Bombyx mori: one gene and its partners. The protein of the gene in region 2 purifies or fractionates together with the protein of the main gene of each other region. This does not show direct contact. Links are inferred from orthologs where the notes say so. Each region holds a gene or a part of one and is shown on either strand. Other genes may lie near its edges.

Region 1 (4,211 bases), on a different chromosome or scaffold from region 2:
GCTCATCTCTGCGCGGTATAAATACAAACAGGCTAATGGATAGGACATTGTTAGTGATATCTGCAACCCATTGACGTTAGCGTAGCGTTTGAATTTTTATTTATTGCTTCGTTGGGTGAACGAGCTCACGGCCCAACTGATTTTAAGTGGTGGCCGGAGCCCCTAGATGTTACAACGTAAATGCCCCCACGTGCAACCCACCTTGGGACATGAGTTGTAAGGTCTCACTTTAAAAGTACAACGGCTGCCCCACCCTTCAAACCGAAACGCATTACTGCTTCACGGCAGAAATAGACAAGGTGGTGGTGCCTACCCGTGCGAACTCATAAGACGTCCTACCACCAGAATGTCCTAATAGGTGCCTTATTTATGTGAACCCGGTGCCCAACATGAGCTATGAGACAAAAGTATTTTAAACTCGTGGTCATGATACGCGCTAACACCAGTAAGAGGGACGGCACGAAGAAGGTGCCACCATGGAAGCAGAGTATTTACTTTGTATTAAATTTATTAATTCAGTCCACGATTGTGTTTGTCAAATGAAGTCATTTAAAAATGGCGTTACTGTAGCACAACTTCTAAATTAAAAAGGAAAGGCAAAGGTTTTATTATTATTAATAATATGCGATTTTTAAAATATAGATTTCATAACAAACGTATTTTTTTTTCTCTTAGGTACTATAATAACCATACATAATATTTATATCTTTATGATTTACGACTTCTCATAACTTTTTCATTAATTTCTATAACCAATCTCAATCTGTTTGGAAACTGCGTTCCTGAAATTTTTTGGCCATTGTTAGGAAGCAATCTTCCTTCTATTTTGAACAATTTTGTACTGGAAGAGTAAAAACCCATATGAGAGAATTTTCCTTTAAACTGTTTTTATGGGGAGATAATGTAACAGGAAGTAAAATGACCAAATTCACGTACTTATTTTCCAAACCAGAACATCCGAAAGAATGTTATCACGACTATTATTTTATGCTTTGGTAAGGAGTGGACGGCGAATAGTATGATTATTTTTATTGTTTAGCAATTATTCTTATTTACGTTACGTAATTTATGAGTATAAATTTACCTTCTAAAAAAGAAGATAATAACCTCTCAATTTCAAAATTTAGTTAAATGTAATTAATATTAATTTCACTAGAAACAGACGTTTCTTGTTGAACTATTAAAATCTAGAAAGAAAATGGAGGTCATATTACTGATCTGTGATGAAGATGTTATAAAAAAAAAAACAAACATAGAAACATAGATTTTGTAGTATTAAACTTTTTATTACATTTTATTTTCAGTTTTGTAGATAAAATTTTATTCTTTGCAATTTTTAATTTCGTATGGCTTAAAATGTCTCGTTGGGATGCGAAAGCCGTACTTAACCGCTAAATCGTAATAATTTCGCGTATCCGATAAAACCGGTTTTGAATAAATCTAAAGTGACACGTCCACCCACCCTGTCAAACATCTACTGGTCCTGTAAATCTGCATGACGATTTTCATGTTTTAACCATTAAAAATGGTAAGAAAACAATTTTTACACTGAAATGCGTTTAAGTGATCGATATTCCAAAGACAAGATTTTCGAAAAAGTTAAAGCCACGTAATGCGCAGTCGTCATCACTTTGTCATCTTTGTAATGTCGGCACTTGCGCGATGCAAAAATTCATTTGTAATTAAGGGTAGTTTCATGTGTTGAGTGCATTTATAACGTGGTATCGCTATGTTTCTGAAGCCTCTGCGTCTGGATATCAAGAGGAAGCTGACGGCGCGGTCGGACCGAGTGAAATGCGTCGACCAGCACCCGTCGGAACCCTGGCTGCTCTGCTCCCTGTATTCAGGAGACGTTAACATATGGAATTATGAGACTCACGCTCAAATTAAGAGATTTGAGGTCAGTTTATGTACAATATATTAATACAATATAGTATTTTGGTTTCAAAATAATTTTACAAAACTCAAATTCGTAGCTTATTTTCGAAAACAACTGTACTGTTTTGAAACCATAGTACTTAAACATTAAATGCGAAATGAAACTGTAGCCGATTTAATCTTCTAGTACTTCTAAGAAAAGTGTATTAAAAAGTATCTGTGTCTGTAAAATTTTATAATTTTACTGCCACTCACTGCTAAGCTAGCTCTAATTTAAGATAATTACATAGAACTTTGATCTACAATATATGGCTATAGCCAATTTAATTTCCTCCCATAGATAATCAATATTATAATATTTCATTTATAAAACAAATGAAGGGTCCTTATCATGATTTCATTCACCACATTGCAAGTCTTGAAAGACGCGAAGTTAAAACTTATAATTTATTTTGTAAGGTATTTTATGTAAATATGATCTTTATTCATAATCACAACATATTTTTGTGCAATTTCCTTGAATAATACAATAAATAAGAAATTCACCATAAACAAACAATAAAAACATAATTATTTACTATTCTGAACGTAATCTGGACTCCTGTTTCTATGAAACTGATTTCTTATTCAAACTTAATGTGTTAAAAATATTTTCCCTAAGTAACCTGATAATAAATATATATTTCTCTGTTATCTTTACATTACAAAACAATTAAGTTTTATCTGTTAAACAGTGACTGAAATAAAAATATTACATGGAATTTATTTATTTTAAAAGCTATGACTGTTTGTTAGAGATAATAATAATATGTTCTAAATATATGCAAAATTATATAAAAAATAGTCAGTTAAATTCTAAAATGTGAATAAGATATATCTAATGGAATGTTCTTTGTAATGAAAATTAAATTATTTAATTACCATTATAAAATTTCTTCTAAAGTATGTAGTGATTCACACTTGAATGATTTAAATTAGCCATGCACCTCTTTTTTTCTGACTAGTATAATTTTTATTGTCCTGGATGGTTTTGGCTATTAATGTTTCTCACTTGTTTCAAAATAGTTACTCACTGTTTAGACTGGAGTTTATTCCTGCCTTGTGTCAGATAAGAGTATTCAGAAATACTGCTCTAATAGTAATAGACAACCAGTGTAGTTCACAATTCCGTCCACCATGAGTGAGGTCAATTGTAATAAATGTTCTGCCTTTCGAAAGAGAATCCATATTTGCTTTGCTGTAGAAATAGGTAGAATGGTGACAGTTACTTGGATGGACCTACAGTATACTACCACTAGTAGTAGTAAGTAATTACATTAATTTATGACTATGGATCTTTGTTACTCAATATTATTATTTTCTCATAGCTCAAAAATAATCTGGAATATATAGCCACTCAAGGCCAAAATATTCATTAGCCTGACAGAAATTGTTAGTTTTCCCAGATTAAGATGTACATTGTATTAAGCTCTGCCATCAAAAACCTCCACAGTGAATTTACATCTAAAGTATTTATATTTTCTCTGGTCAACAGTACGAAACTGCATGCAAAAGCCCTGTTGATATGATTTGATAACTAGTACACCCAAGATGCTTTCAGCTTAGGTTGCAAAAGGTACTGCTTGAAGAGTGCATTCTCTGTACCAAGAAGGTAATGAATATTGGTCCAAGTAAGGTAATATTATGGTTGATGCTGTATTTGAGCCTCAATGAAGACATTTAATATTTTGGGATAGTCACCACTAATCTGAGTAGGTCTCATTGACTCCCCACCTGATATTAATAGTGATGATATTCCCTCATGGAAGTGATAAATATTAATAGCTCGACAAAAATTCATACTTGCCTGTGATATTTGAACATCAGAACACTTGTATCTCTTGAAATTATTACCAGAGGCATCTCATTTAGGTTTTGATGATTATAACTTCATTTCAGCTCCTCTGTAGTTTGGTTCTTGCACAAAAATTAAACGTAAAACTGTTCAACAATAGCAGCAGCGACACAAAAAAAAACTGAAGTAAAATTAAATAGTTTTCTAATAAAAGATATCAAGAATATTCATTATTTGTCATGATGGATGAATTATAGATTAATCATATATATTAGAATCGGTTCCAACTACTATTAATTATGAACCTGAATGATGACAGTTTCACCATTGAAAGTACTCATTGAATTGAAAGAAATCCATCATTATTAAATATGTAATATTATGAAATAAATCATGGAAAACTTGCACATAAACATGCTTTTTAGCATATAAGCTTTGATTCTTAGATTATAGCTATCTAAGATTATAGCAATAGAGAATCATAAGTAACAACAAATTT
Region 2 (3,121 bases):
TTTGAAGTGAAACTTCTTTCGGTGCATGAGGGTAAAATTTTTACAGATGTAACGTCACGCAGGTACGCAACGGAAGTGTCGAAAATTTTTTATACAGCGCCATCTATGCGATTTTTTAATACTAACGTGCGTATGAAAACTCTCGTAGTGAATTTCAATTTAGGATTATACGTGACGTTAAAATATCGATTCACAGAGGGCGCTACCTCATACTATAAAAGATGATTTACAATTATTTACTAATGACAAAATTTTACATATACTTAGACATTTACGATAAGTAATTGTATTTTAATTTTTGAAGGTTTCACTTCTGACACGTGTGAATTGCACACATGTTTCTTTTTTTAGCTTGTGATGTGTACTGTGTGCCTAATAAATTTTAATAATATAAAAAATAAATAAAAGTGGCTTCGAACGCAACGCATGCGTGATTAGATTTGATGTGATACCGTCCTCGGTTCGAGTATACAACAATCCATCGCGGCAACAAGCTGTACGCTACCAAAACAATCTATTGACTTGATCAATTACCTGGGCCACTGTTTGCTCTCCCAGGGGCACGTCCTCGGTGCGCAGCGCTGCCCGGCTTACGATCGACGTGGGATCAGCATCCAATATCACACTGTAATTACACAAAACAATTTTTTTTTTTTTTATTGCTTTTATGGGTGGACGAGTTCACAGCCCACCTTGCGTTAAGTGGTTACTGGAGCCCATAGACATCTACAACGTAAATGCGCCACCCACCTTGAGATATAAGTTCTAAGGTCTCAGTATAGTTATAACGGCTGCCCCACCCTTCAAACCGAAACGCATTACTGCTTCACGGCAGAAATAGGCGAGGTGGTGGTACCTACCCGCGCGGACTCACAAGAGGTCCTGCCACCAGTAAAAAATTTACATATTATTACGCCTGTAAAAGTAACGCCATCTATCGCCGCCCAGCAGAAACGAATATCAAAAGAACTAGTAAAATCGAGAACGCTCGAGAAGTGCAACGCCATCTATTATCAAATAGGGGAAACACACATCGAAACTACTGAATTCTGTAGATGTCGTATCGACTATAAAAGCCTTGCAGAGATACACGAAAGCAGATAGTAATCGGTACTACTCGAAGCGAAACAGCGAACGGATAACCTGAAGTGAATTACGAATTGTAATGTTTTCTTTAAGTGTTGTAAGTCAGTTTTAATTTTTACTTCGGTAGAAGTTATATTTATCCCGAGCACCACCGCGTAACAATATTTATTATTGTGCACTATGAAAATTTATCGCCCTTTTTTAGTGTGAATTAATTATGCATTATCATTAAGGGATACATGCATTTGTATACCCCATCTTGCTCTGAAGCAGACATGCATTCCAGTTTGTACGGTGAAACAGACTGGACTTTTACTGGTGGTAGGACCTCTTGTGAGTCCGCACGGGTAGGTACCACCACCCTGCCTATTTCTGCCGTGAAGCAGTAATGCGTTTCGGTTTGAAGGGTGGGGCAGCCGTTGTAACTATACTGAGGCCTTAGAACTTATATCTCAAGGTGGGGGGCGCATTTACGTTGTAGATGTCTATGGGCTCCAGTAACCACTTAACACCAGGTGGACCGTGATCTCGTTCACCCACTTAAGCAATAAATAAATAAAAAGTTTGAACGTTATTATTATGGTTTTGTGGTCACATTTCTATAATCATCATTTCTGTTATAATCATCACGTCTACAGCGAAAATGACGCTACCCACCTTGAGATATAAGTTCTAAGGTCTCAGTATAGTTACAACGGCTGCCCCACCCTTCATACCGAAACGCATTACTGCTACACGGCAGAAATGGGCAGGGCGATAGGGCGGCAATAGGCAGGGTATAATTTAAATTAATTATAGTCGAATTTCGCCTACCGGGCGACCACTAGTAATAATAATTACAACATACCCGCCGTCGCAGATCTCATCGAAGGCAAGCATAACAGCATCCAAGTTCTCCATGAGGACCCTCCGCTCCATGTTCCTTCTTAGCAGCAAACTAACAGACTCGTAGAGTGCATTCAATACTGATTGAAGGATCAACTGAAAAGATAACGTCACTTAGTAATTTATATGCAACTTAAACTTAATACCATGGACTGACCGTCATGTTTTAATAAGGGATTTTATGACCTGGGAACTAAGACCTTTAAGTCATGTCTTATTTTAATTTATATTCTTATTTTTATGAAAAATGATAATATGGAGTGAAATGAAATGAAATTAAGATGATTAATTTGAGACATTAATCAACTGGGATGAAATTAAATGAAATGATATGGGATGAAATATTCTAAGTAAAATGGTAGTCATTTACTGAGATTTTTTCAGTGGACTATTTGGAGGATCCCAAGAAGTTACATACAGCGGCTTTGTTTCATTTTCCCGCATTTGTGCACTTTCACAGATATTAAACAGTTAATAAACCACCGTTATTACACATTTAAACCTGAAGAAATACTGAATATAATATAATATTTGTTTATATATGTTTTTATATGTATATATTTATGATACGTATATGTATATATTTATGTATATCTATATATTTATGTATATGTATTTATTTAAGTACGAGTATTTGTATCTATAAATATTATGTATGTTATATACACACATATTATTATGTTTCAGTAATATCACCTTCACACTACACCTACCAAGCTTCATCTTTGCACTCCCCTAAGGTTGTTAGAGAATGTAGAAATAGACTGTTAGAGAATGCCTATGGCATTAAGTCCGCCTTTATACTTTATAGTATAAGAAGTTATAAATAAATAAATAAATAAATAGACAAAAAAGCTGACCGTCATGTAGTTCAATGACAAACCTTTAATTTAGAGTAGATGGCTCGCTGGAGTCATGCTCTTATTGCCTACGTAATGAATTTCAACGTATCTAATAAAAGTACAGGATTGTAGACATTGAAGATGAAAAAAAAACATTACAAATCTGCATGTCCAGAGGACCTTTTGGCGTTCTTATAAGAAAATTTTTCTTCTTTACTAATAACTTTCTAGTATCTAAAGCTTTGTGACTGACTTGGTAGTGCACTAGTTAGTGCCTTTGACTATAGGGCTTATAATCGACAGTTCAA
Region 3 (2,932 bases), on a different chromosome or scaffold from region 2:
ATGTATATACTTTTTTCTGTATGTATTTTCAACTTAATATAAATTTCATTGCACCTACCACTATTTACTCTGCACTACTTTTGGTTGACTGGTTGACTGATAAATAAATAAATAAATATGAGTAAGTAGGTACATGACGTTGGCGGCCCTAATGATACTATGAACGCGCAATGGTTGTCAAAGCACTCACGGAAGCGGTATGGTGATATTGACATCTGTCAACACCAGGTGATCCTGCTCCAGCTCGTATTCGATATTGACGTCACATCCTCCGTTGACGCCTTCGGACGGCCAACAGTTTACTGGAAGAAAAAAATGTCTGTTAATACCTAAATCTATATTTCTCTACTAAATCGCGGTTAGCCTAAACGCTCAGAATACAGAAAATACCAAAAGCCGTATACGCGCTTAATATTGAAGCGTCAATAACTACTCCTAATTTATTACTGGTGGTAGGACCTCCTGTGAGTCCGCGCGGGTACCACCGCCCTGCCTGTTTCTAAAGCAGTAATGCGTTTCGGTTTGAAGGGCGGGGCAGCCGTTGTAACTATACTTGAGACCTTAGAACTTATATCTCGAGGTGGTTGGCGCATTTACGTTGTGAATGTCTATGGGCTCCAGTAACCACTTAACACCAGGTGGGCTGTGAGCTCGTCCACTATGCAATAAAAAAAATTAAAACTAAATGTCGATGGTAGCCTAAATGCTATTCTTGTTGTGCTCTAGCTGGTAGGTCAGTTTTCTAACATTGGCCCTAGCAAGAGCTTCGCTGAATCCACCACCAGATCAGAATCGCGACGCACTGAGAAGTTCCGGGCGAGAAACTCAGTGGGTTGTGTCTACGCGAGCAAACAGACAAAGGATTTTCTTTATTTCAGACCAAACAAAAGTTCGCTGTGAAAATCGACAAACACTTCTCAAATTATGAGCGGACCGAATTCAGGGGGCAACGAACTCGGTCGTGTCTTTAAAGTTACCACAGTTATCTTTAACCCTTTTACTGCAAAAATAAATAATAATTTCTGCAGAAATTGCTAAAGAATTTCTGAAAAAAAGTACCTTAAAAAATTATACAAGAATCAATGCTAAATTCAAACGAATAAAAACGTCATACAGGTCCTATTTTACTTATAATCAAACTGTGCAAAACGTCGATATTTCGACGCTCCATACTTCATACGTATTAATAGAGCGTCGATATATCGACGGTTCGCGCTCAAAAGGTCACGTATCACATGTCTCACCGGAAAGCGGAGCCAGCTTGTCATCGTTGGTAGTGGCCAGCCTCCACTTGAGGACTCCGACGTCGCTGTGCATCGGGAAGGGGCGTTGAGCCTGCTTCAGCCCAATCACGCCGGTCGAGCGGAACGCTTCTTTGTCCACGTTTGGATGGGTCTGAGATAAATCGTCGTTTAATTAATGCTGATTTAATCACTGGTGATTATTTCTGGTGGTAGGACCTCTTGTGAGTCCGCACGGGTAGGTACCACCACCCCGCCTATTTCTGCCATGAAGCAGTAATGGGTTTCGGTTTGAAGGGTGTAGGGCAGCCGTTGTAACTATACTGAGATCTTAGAAATTATATCTCAAGGTGGATGGAGCATTTACGTCTATGGGCTCCAGTAACCACTTTATACCAGGTGGGCTGTTAGCTCGTCCACCCACCAAAGCAATAAAAAAAAAGTACTATTGAACGAGCTTTAATCGCGGTTTAGCAAAATTGCTATAATTACTTTACTTATCAATCACACTTTAATCACGGGTTAGTTAGTGTTGTTTAAGTCCCGGTTTGATCAATCACACTATAATCACGGGTTTAGTTAGTGTTGTTTAAGTCCCGGTTTGATCAATCACACTATAATCACGGGTTTAGTTAGTGTTGTTTAAGTCCCGGTTTGATCAATCACACTATAATCACGGGTTTAGTTAGTGTTGTTTAAGTCCCGGTTTGGTCAATCACACTATAATCACGGGTTTAGTTAGTGTTGTTTAAGTCCCGGTTTGATCAATCACACTATAATCACGGGTTTAGTTAGTGTTGTTTAAGTCCCGGTTTGATCAATCACACTATAATCACGGGTTTAGTTAGTGTTGTTTAAGTCCCGGTTTGATCAATCACACTATAATCACGGGTTTAGTTAGTGTTGTTTAAGTCCCGGTTTGATCAATCACACTATAATCACGGGTTTAGTTAGTGTTGTTTAAGTCCCGGTTTGATCAATCACACTATAATCACGGGTTTAGTTAGTGTTGTTTAAGTCCCGGTTTGATCAATCACACTATAATCACTGTTGTTGTGTATTTGATTATGTGTTGATCATGGGATTAATCGTACTTTATTGTTTAATGCTGCTATAATTATGGTCCGGTTAATTATATGACGTCACAGTTATTACTTTCTCGACGATGACTCATGTTTGGGCTTCCGAAACAAAACTTCACGAGAACTTGGTGAGCAGCGTATATTTCACGAGAAGCATAACAACGTTCCAGAGAGATCCGTTCTGTGCAACGGCTCGGACACGAATGACCAATTGTCATTTATTTATTTTGACTATTTAGTGTTTCTTCAGGTTAAAATGTATAATAACAGTGGTTTATTAACTGCTTGATATCTGTGAAAGTGCACAAATATGGGAAAATGAAACAAAGCCGCTGGACGTAACTTCTCGGGATCCTTCAAAAAGTCCACTGAAAAAATCTCAGTAAATGACCACCATTTTACTGATATTATATTTCATTCCATATCATCTCATTTAATTTAATTTCAACCCAGTTGATTAATGTCTCAAATTAATCATCTTCATTTAATTTAATTTCACTCCATATTATAACTTTACATAAAAGTGAGAATATAAATTAAAATAAGACATGACTTAAAGGTCTTAGTTACCAGGTCATAAAATCCCCTAAAAAACTAAGCATCATCTTC
Region 4 (3,519 bases), on a different chromosome or scaffold from region 2:
GGCACTAGGAACACAATCATTACACTACAAATAACAAGTATGGGCCGTCGCGGCACTCACGCGGGCAGGTTGAAGGCGGACTGCGTGGCGTAGGTGCCGTCGCTGGTGACGAGGCGGCGCGGCGCCGCGGCCGGCCCGCTCTCCGGCTGCTACAAGCACACAGAGATGAGTCGGGTCCGCTTGTGGCGCTGTGGTGGCGGGTGTGACGTCACTACCTGCGTGTCGGCGGCGCCCTCGATGACGTCGGCGAGCACGTGCAGCGCGGCGCGCGCGCGGCCCGGCGTGTCGGCGAACTGCGCGAGCAGCCACAGCGCGGCGCGGGCCGGCCTGCCCACGCGCACGCTGCGCACGGACTCCACCAGTTTCTGCGACACGAGGCGCGCTGTAGTGTGTGCTGTCTCGGCATCACAACGTTATGATATCTTGGATCGACTAATATAAACAAATACATTTTGCAGAACTATTGAACCTATAACCGCTGCGTTCATCCAGTGCGTTTCCAGAGATATTTTTTGCCACGTGCCATCCGGCAACGAGCTCCCCTCCACGGTGCTTCCCGAGCGCTATGACATGTCCTTCTTCAAACGAAACTTGCGGAAAGTATTTAACGGTAGGCAGCGGCCTGGACTTCGAAGACATGAATCCCAGTGTACTTACTACACAGGACCATTCATAGAATATGGTCTGTATCTAGAACTAACCGAAAGCTGTATTCTCCCATCACACTACTCGCCACCTAGTACCCCGTGGCCAGTGGTCATGTTTTACCAAGCCATGTAGGTGCAATTGTTTTCGATGGGTATTTTTCTATTAAAACAATATCTAAAGTCAAAACGACTCTTCCTCCTCGTGGGGTCACCGACCCATCTACAAACCCAAGGACCCAAATACAACAAAATGGGTGAACAAAATATAAGGCGAAGAGCCGTAGTGCTCGTCCAGTTGAGCAGTACGGGGCGGGGAGTAACCTGGTAGATGTGGTCCCTGAGGTCGGGGAAGGCGTGCAGCGCGTGGCGCAGGAACAGCAGCACGTCGTGCGCCGCCGCCTCGCTGCCCTCGCCCAGCAGCTCCAGCAGCGCCGGCGCCACGCTGCCAGCCACCTCCGGGAACTGCGGGACGCAACGGACTTACGCAGCACGCCCACCACTACCCAGCTTTATGACACAATGTTATTCCGTCACAGTTCAGTCATTCGTGAACATGAGATAACTACGTACTTCATTAGACATATGTGTACTTGTCTGTGGGATTCGAACTCCGGCAAAGTCACATGAATCAGAACTAAAGAGCAAAATGAAATTAATTGAATTAAAGTGAAACTTTTATTATATCGTCTCAAACTTTTTCGTCTGTGTGTTGCATGTCGCGTGACGGTCAGCCGCGGAGTAGGGAGAAAGTGCAAGGCGCTCGTCAGAGCAGCCAAGGCCAATATGGCGGCGCCTATAGTTCGCAGCAGCTGACCGTGTAGTATATAACTATTACTGATTTGTGCCAGTGCTCCACGCTATTTTGTTTGTTTTTGTCAGTGTTTAATGTAAATTTTGTTAGTCAGAGTAAAATGTCTATAATGTGAAAAAAGTTTCACTTTTACTGTGGTTTCATAAAACCACACAATCCTTTTTTTCTGCGACGCACTTGTATTAAATAATATTTACGAATGAAGTATGAACGGCATCGTTAGAAGTGGAAGGGAGCGAACCTTGAGCGCGGCCTTGTGCATGGCGCGCACGAGCAGCTGGCGGTACTTGGCGGCGTCGTCGTGGTCGGCGGAGTGCGCCCGCGCCGCCTCCTTGCGCAGCACCTGCACCAGCTCCTCCGCGTGCCGCGCGCTCACCAGCTCCAGCGCTGCGTCATCATACAACACCGATACATCAATGGGACTGTAGCAAGGTGTAGTGCGAGACGCTGAGTGCGGGTTAGAGTTGCCACGAATAGTGATTTGGCCGAATACCGAATACCGAATATTCGGCAACGCTGTCGGCCGAAGCGCCGAACATTCGGCACAAAGTACATGCTAGTTAGTCGAGCGCGTAAAGAATAATAGGACAGATCGGGACCTGTCTCCACCGTGCGCGGGCGGTGTCGGGCCATTTGACTGTTTCAGTTGCGAGTAAATCACGTCACGGCACGCTTTGTCAGATCAATATAAATAACAAATTAAATAAAACATTACGATTTTGTAGCAAAGTTTGTTCGTTAGTTCTTTTTCAATTGTTTGTTCATTAAAAAGTGACACCAATTAATAGAAAATCGGCCATATGAGAATATTATGAGATTTCTAGTGAAAATAATAAACAAAATTATGATTCGAATTTTTTGACGAAACATGATTTGAGACCTGCCCGTCATTTTTCGGTATTCGGCCGAATAGTGCCTATTATTCGGCGGAATACCGAATACCAAACAAAGTGACCGAATACCAAATAGTAGCCGAATATTCGTGGCATGTCTAGTGCGGATACATTACCGAGCTGCAGCGTGTGCTTCCTGACGTCGAGGTCGGAGGAGGCGAGCACGCGCAGCACGTCCATGGCCAGGTCGGGCAGGGCGCGCGCGGCCCCCTCCCCGCCCTCGGCGCGCAGGGCTCCCAGCCGCCCCACGACAATCAGCTTCACGTTGTTGTCGCTCTCCTTCACCACGAGGTCGATGTAGCACGCCGCCGCCGCCTGCGCACGGGCACGGTCAGTCGGGTGGGGGGACGGTGGGGGGCGTTGGGGGGACGGCGGGGGGTCGACGCACCTTGATGGCGGCGGGCGCGTTGGAGAGGGTGACGAGCGTGCCGGCGGCCTCGTACCGGACGGCGGCGCTGCTGGCGTTGAGCAGCCCGTACACGGTGCGGATGAACCGGGAGCGCTCCGACGGGTTCGTGTGGCAGACCTGCACCCGTACAGATAGTTACTGCCACTTCGATATTCACTTACTTAAGCTAAATTCGACCTTATGTCACAAATTTTGTAAATTTTGAATATTTTCTTTTCTATACCGATTTTTTAATTATTATTATTATTCATAAAAAAACATTTTATCTCAAAATTCTTTACATTGTTAAATTACATCTTTTCGTTTTTAATTATTTATTTAGTCCTTTATTATGCTCTCGATTCAGTAATGATAGTAAGCATCTATGAAGACATTCTTTATAGATTCAGACACCATCCTACTTTGAGAGTGCATATATTTCCAAGTTGTATAACTCTGCCCAAGTTTGTCTCAGCTGCCTACAACTATGTAGCTATCCTCCGCAACTAATCCAAGAATTACTATCTGTTTTGACATTTATGAGCAAAATATATCCTTCAATTTATGGTCACTAGAATTATTTACTAATGTTACTACATTAAAACATATGAGTCGACTATTATCAAAGGCGGCAATCTGACTTTTGGACAATGATTGGTAAATCAGAAAAACGAATTATTGACTTTGTATTCCATCGGCAGTCACAAAACTCTTCGGAACGACATCTTAGATAAATAACAGGTTAACTATTAACCTTTATTTAATGCAGGTTTTGAACCG
Region 5 (4,311 bases), on a different chromosome or scaffold from region 2:
CTTATGGTCTGAAATAAAGCAATAAATTGATTTTTTTAGGCTACTAAATAGACAGCACAATGTTTTAAAATTACATAACATAATCACAATAATATACATGAGATTAAACTACAAAAGTTAATTTTTTTTTATTACCTCTACAAATACTACTGATGCACTAATGCAACAAAAGTAATTTGATAGCTGTTAATAATTTTGTATGCAGCCCATGATCTGGTTACCTACAATGGTGGATTATTGTATTGTATGTACATATTTGAATATCTTCTAGTAAATAAAAATGAATATATTATTTATTATACAAATTACACTTAATTCATTCATTAATTAAGTAGCAAGTTCATTAGTTTCATCGTAAAAATTATGATGCCTAAATAATTTAGTTGCAAAAAAATGTACAATCTATTTAGTAAAATTTAGCCTGTTTATGAAATGCTTACTTAAACAGATATGCTTTAAACAATGAATTTAGTTACCTGATCATCAGATGCACTTAAAATCCATGGGTATTCATGATGGAAGAATGTTGTACGTATATAATCCAAGTGACCAAGCAATGTGAATAGACATCTTCTTTGTTTGTAGTTCCAGACCTGATAAAAAAAAATTGTGTTAATATCATAATCAAATTCAAATTCAAATTCAAAATCATTTATTTCAACTTAGATGTCAGTATGACACACTTGTTGAATGTCAAAATACAAATAACAATGTTAACTCTACCACCAGTTCCAAAAAAAGCCACAGTCCTGAGAAAAACCGGCGAAACAAACTCAGCGGGCTTTTTTTTTTGTTTTTTCTCAAATATTTTCTTTTTTTTTAAATAAATAGAAATATTCACAATAAAAGAAAAAACAAGTCAAAAAAATACAATAAAAATAATAATATTAATAATGAAAAATGAAAAGGCCAGGAGCGAGCGCCTCATTCCCACGTAGTGCCATCTAGTAAATAATCCTTAACTTTATAATATGCCTTGTTGCACAAACATTCCTTAACAGTTTTCTTAAATCTATGAACAGGTAGTAGTTGAACGTTTAGTGGGATCTTGTTGAAAAGAAATCAAAAGCCATTACAAAATAGTCAAACCATTCCGGCTAAAGCTTAGCTTTTTAAGGTTTAAATGTATTTAAAAAACCTTTTGTGAATTATGAAAAGTAAATTGAGATGTAAATAAAACCTTTATAGTTATATATACTGCAAGTATGGCTTCCTTGAAAGTCTCAGCATTATTAATTTTTTTCAAACACAATATATAATACAAATTTAAATGATTTCAATTATTTTCAATTCCATAGCTCTACACTACATAGTCTTACAGGTGCTAAAACACATCATTAAAGTGCATGATTATATACAACTGACTATTTTTGGGACAGACCAGTTATGCGTTCTGACACAACAGTAAAACAGCCTTTACAATAATTTAATTGATACTTCAAACTCATATTCTACCGTAAGTGATGCATGTTTTAACATCTATGCTTCTAATACTCTAGTATCCTATGTAGATGTAGTCACTACAAAAAATGTTTGCTGTGAGTTATTTTAAAACACATAATAAAAAATAAATAAAGTAGAATTTAGTTAGTAAAAGAATGAAATCTTTAATGACAAAAATATTTTAATTGTTGTGTAATTATGTGCAATTACTTTTATTTTAGACTACAACCTTTTCAAACTACTTCAAGTACTTCTCCATGGTGTACTTATTTATTTATTTATGCAAACAATAAACACATCCAACAATTCAAATCCACTCAACGAAACCCTATCTCAGATCTTAATAATGAATGGCAATAGCTTATCCACTGTAATAATAACCTCGGCTTATTTTCCAACCTAAATCTTTCTCTAATTCCTATTTTCAGTATTTATGAAGAGTTGCAAGCTCACATGAGATGAGATAATATGGTACCACTCTCCCATCTACTGCTACCTTTTTCATTTATTTATTCTTTATTAGAGCCACACACCTATTAGGTGAAGTCGGCTTACTGCTAGTTTAAATTCTTAAAATTTGTTTTTACCAAAAATATTCCACATAATTCTAATAAAATAGAAACTTTGGTTCTAGTATATAAATATAGGCAGTGAGTAGCATTCACATTGTGTTCAAACTTCAATAAACGCATTATACAGTACTAGCTTTAGAAGGGCATTTTTGTTGCATGCATTTGGACAAAATACTTGAAATTATAAAAACCTAAGTTTTGTTAACGAATCAGTTCTTTATCAAAACAAAAATGGTTAAAATTTGTAATATCAGTGCTTTAAATTTTGAAACTAAACAAAATAACATTGTCTTAATCTTAGCTTACTTATAAAATTATTAAAATCTAAAAACATTTCGCCTTCGCAAAGATGCACAAAACCAAACATTCCATGCCCGGAATACGTGTCAAAAGCATGACAGATTAATATCAACAATAATTGTAATTATACTAGCAAAAGAACTAACGGCATATTAGGGCTTATACCTTAATCTTGTAGTCATCTCCGCCCGACACGAAAAGAGGCTGTTGAATATGGAAGCAAATTCCACGTACTGGACCATCATGTTCATCAAATTTCTCAAGTAATGTACACATACGATAATCCCAAAGTTGAATCACACCATTGTGCAAACTAGCCAGCACCCATGGTCGCTTAGCATGAAACGATATGCCTTTCACCCGCGCAGACTTCGTCTCGAATTTTTTTAACATTTTGATTCAAACACCGCTGAAATAATACGAAAAACTACAAAAATTAAAACAAGCGCAATGACAGCCAACCGGCTGACGTGACACGTCCAACACAGAATAGTGCTGAGCTTGTAATTGATCAAAATTGAAAATATCGACAAATCTGAACAAAACTATCGATGTTAATTTGATCAAATCATTAACTAATTTTGAATGGAAACGAATAAACACACCAATTAAAATCACATATTTCGTATCTTCTTAATGGTTGTAATCATCAGTATAATTAGCGTTATTAAAAAACTTTGAGAGTCGGGTAGCCTGGTTGAGTTAAATTTATCTTTCCTGATGAATCAATGGTTAGCTTTTTTATTTATTGCTTAGATGAGTGGAGGAGCTTACAGCCCACCTGGTGTTAAGTGGTTACTGGAGCCCATAGACATCTACAACGTAAATGCGCCATCCATTTTGAGATATAAGTTCTAAGGTCTCAAGTATAGTTACAACGGCTGCCCCACCCTTCAATCCGAAACGCATTACTGCTTCACGGCAGAACTAATGCTGGTACCTACCCGCGCGGACTCACAAGAGACCCTACCACCAGTAATTACGCAAATTATAATTTTGCGGGTTTGATTTTTATTACACGATGTTATACCTCCACCTTGGGAGTCAATCGTGAACATTTGTTGAGTACGTATTTCATTAGTAAAATTGGTACCCGCCTGGGATTCGAAACACCGGTGCATCGCTCAACACGAATGCACCGGATGTCTTATCCTATAAGCCAAGACGATGTTAGCTGTGAGTGTTTTGAGTTAATAATATAAATAAGGTTCAAAAATCATTTATTTCAACTTAGATGTCAGTATAACATAGATTTTCACGAACCATATCGTAGCACTAACAATAATCAGTAATTAATTATGTAGATAAAATATATTATTATGGCTAGTAAGATTTTACGAAAATAAGTGAGAATATTTTGCATCATCCAAGTCGATTATGATATTTTAGTAGATGAAATAATAGAGGAAAAACAAATACTGGTGGTAGTGGTGGTGGTACCCTCTTCCTTACTAACGTTTTTTCCGTGGTAGGGAGACGAGCACACGTTCCACCTGGTAAGTAGTCAAAGTAGTAAAGTGGAAAGCCAGCAACGCCATTGCTTACTGCAACAATATTTTTTAATTATTTAGACGAGTGAGAGACGAGACAAAGTCCAGGCCCATCTGGTATTAAGTGGTCACTAGAGCCCATAGACATTTTTTGATTCAATTTTTCCTTATTAGGAAAGGCAAGGGGATCTAAACCCATACAGCCTTGTGTGTTGTATATAATTTCTAAAATGAATTTTCAAAAAAGCCGAAGCCAGGTCTTATATGATTTATATTATATCCTGAAATAAAAAAATCATTAAGGCAGAAGCCAAGTCCTTTATAATTTCTTTCTGAAATAAAACCCAGAGACATCGTAACCTTAATGCCACTATCGATCCCTAGATATGAGTTTTAAGTCTCAGTATTAAAGTACAACAGCTGCCCCATCCTTCATACAGAAATGCATTACTGCTTCGTGACAGAATAATTGAATAGGCAGAGTACTGGTATTTGCTTGTGCTGGC

The links.
Region 1: the proteins of COPZ (region 2) and COPB2 fractionate together in Homo sapiens (co-fractionation; 6 studies listed by BioGRID and IntAct, with this or other methods). This does not show direct contact. The link is inferred for Bombyx mori from reciprocal best matches to the Homo sapiens genes COPZ1 and COPB2.
Region 3: the proteins of COPZ (region 2) and COPD fractionate together in Homo sapiens (co-fractionation; 5 studies listed by BioGRID and IntAct, with this or other methods). This does not show direct contact. The link is inferred for Bombyx mori from reciprocal best matches to the Homo sapiens genes COPZ1 and ARCN1.
Region 4: the proteins of COPZ (region 2) and COPB fractionate together in Homo sapiens (co-fractionation; 8 studies listed by BioGRID and IntAct, with this or other methods). This does not show direct contact. The link is inferred for Bombyx mori from reciprocal best matches to the Homo sapiens genes COPZ1 and COPB1.
Region 5: the proteins of COPZ (region 2) and COPA fractionate together in Homo sapiens (co-fractionation; 6 studies listed by BioGRID and IntAct, with this or other methods). This does not show direct contact. The link is inferred for Bombyx mori from reciprocal best matches to the Homo sapiens genes COPZ1 and COPA.

The regions. Positions count from the first base shown.
Region 1 is NC_085107.1:19,811,786-19,815,996, reverse strand, and holds the start of COPB2 (coatomer protein complex subunit beta 2), read left to right. Parts: upstream 1-1,395; 5' UTR 1,396-1,525; coding exon 1,526-1,528; intron 1,529-1,714; exon of another isoform or gene 1,715-1,729; coding exon of another isoform or gene 1,730-1,741; coding exon 1,742-1,900; intron 1,901-4,211. UniProt on the Homo sapiens protein: The coatomer is a cytosolic protein complex that binds to dilysine motifs and reversibly associates with Golgi non-clathrin-coated vesicles, which further mediate biosynthetic protein transport from the ER, via the Golgi up to the trans Golgi network.
Region 2 is NC_085108.1:4,792,929-4,796,049, reverse strand, and holds part of COPZ (nonclathrin coat protein zeta 1-COP), read right to left. Parts: intron 2,068-3,121; coding exon 1,934-2,067; intron 626-1,933; coding exon 535-625; intron 1-534. UniProt on the Homo sapiens protein: The coatomer is a cytosolic protein complex that binds to dilysine motifs and reversibly associates with Golgi non-clathrin-coated vesicles, which further mediate biosynthetic protein transport from the ER, via the Golgi up to the trans Golgi network.
Region 3 is NC_085130.1:5,914,446-5,917,377, forward strand, and holds part of COPD (coatomer protein complex subunit delta), read right to left. Parts: intron 1,396-2,932; coding exon 1,245-1,395; intron 303-1,244; coding exon 191-302; intron 1-190. UniProt on the Homo sapiens protein: Component of the coatomer, a cytosolic protein complex that binds to dilysine motifs and reversibly associates with Golgi non-clathrin-coated vesicles, which further mediate biosynthetic protein transport from the ER, via the Golgi up to the trans Golgi network.
Region 4 is NC_085119.1:983,511-987,029, forward strand, and holds part of COPB (coatomer protein complex subunit beta), read right to left. Parts: intron 2,878-3,519; coding exon 2,740-2,877; intron 2,667-2,739; coding exon 2,468-2,666; intron 1,846-2,467; coding exon 1,700-1,845; intron 1,110-1,699; coding exon 969-1,109; intron 366-968; coding exon 216-365; intron 150-215; coding exon 61-149; intron 1-60. UniProt on the Homo sapiens protein: The coatomer is a cytosolic protein complex that binds to dilysine motifs and reversibly associates with Golgi non-clathrin-coated vesicles, which further mediate biosynthetic protein transport from the ER, via the Golgi up to the trans Golgi network.
Region 5 is NC_085132.1:3,509,475-3,513,785, forward strand, and holds the start of COPA (coatomer protein complex subunit alpha), read right to left. Parts: upstream 2,820-4,311; 5' UTR 2,709-2,819; coding exon 2,481-2,708; intron 594-2,480; coding exon 477-593; intron 9-476; coding exon 1-8. UniProt on the Homo sapiens protein: The coatomer is a cytosolic protein complex that binds to dilysine motifs and reversibly associates with Golgi non-clathrin-coated vesicles, which further mediate biosynthetic protein transport from the ER, via the Golgi up to the trans Golgi network.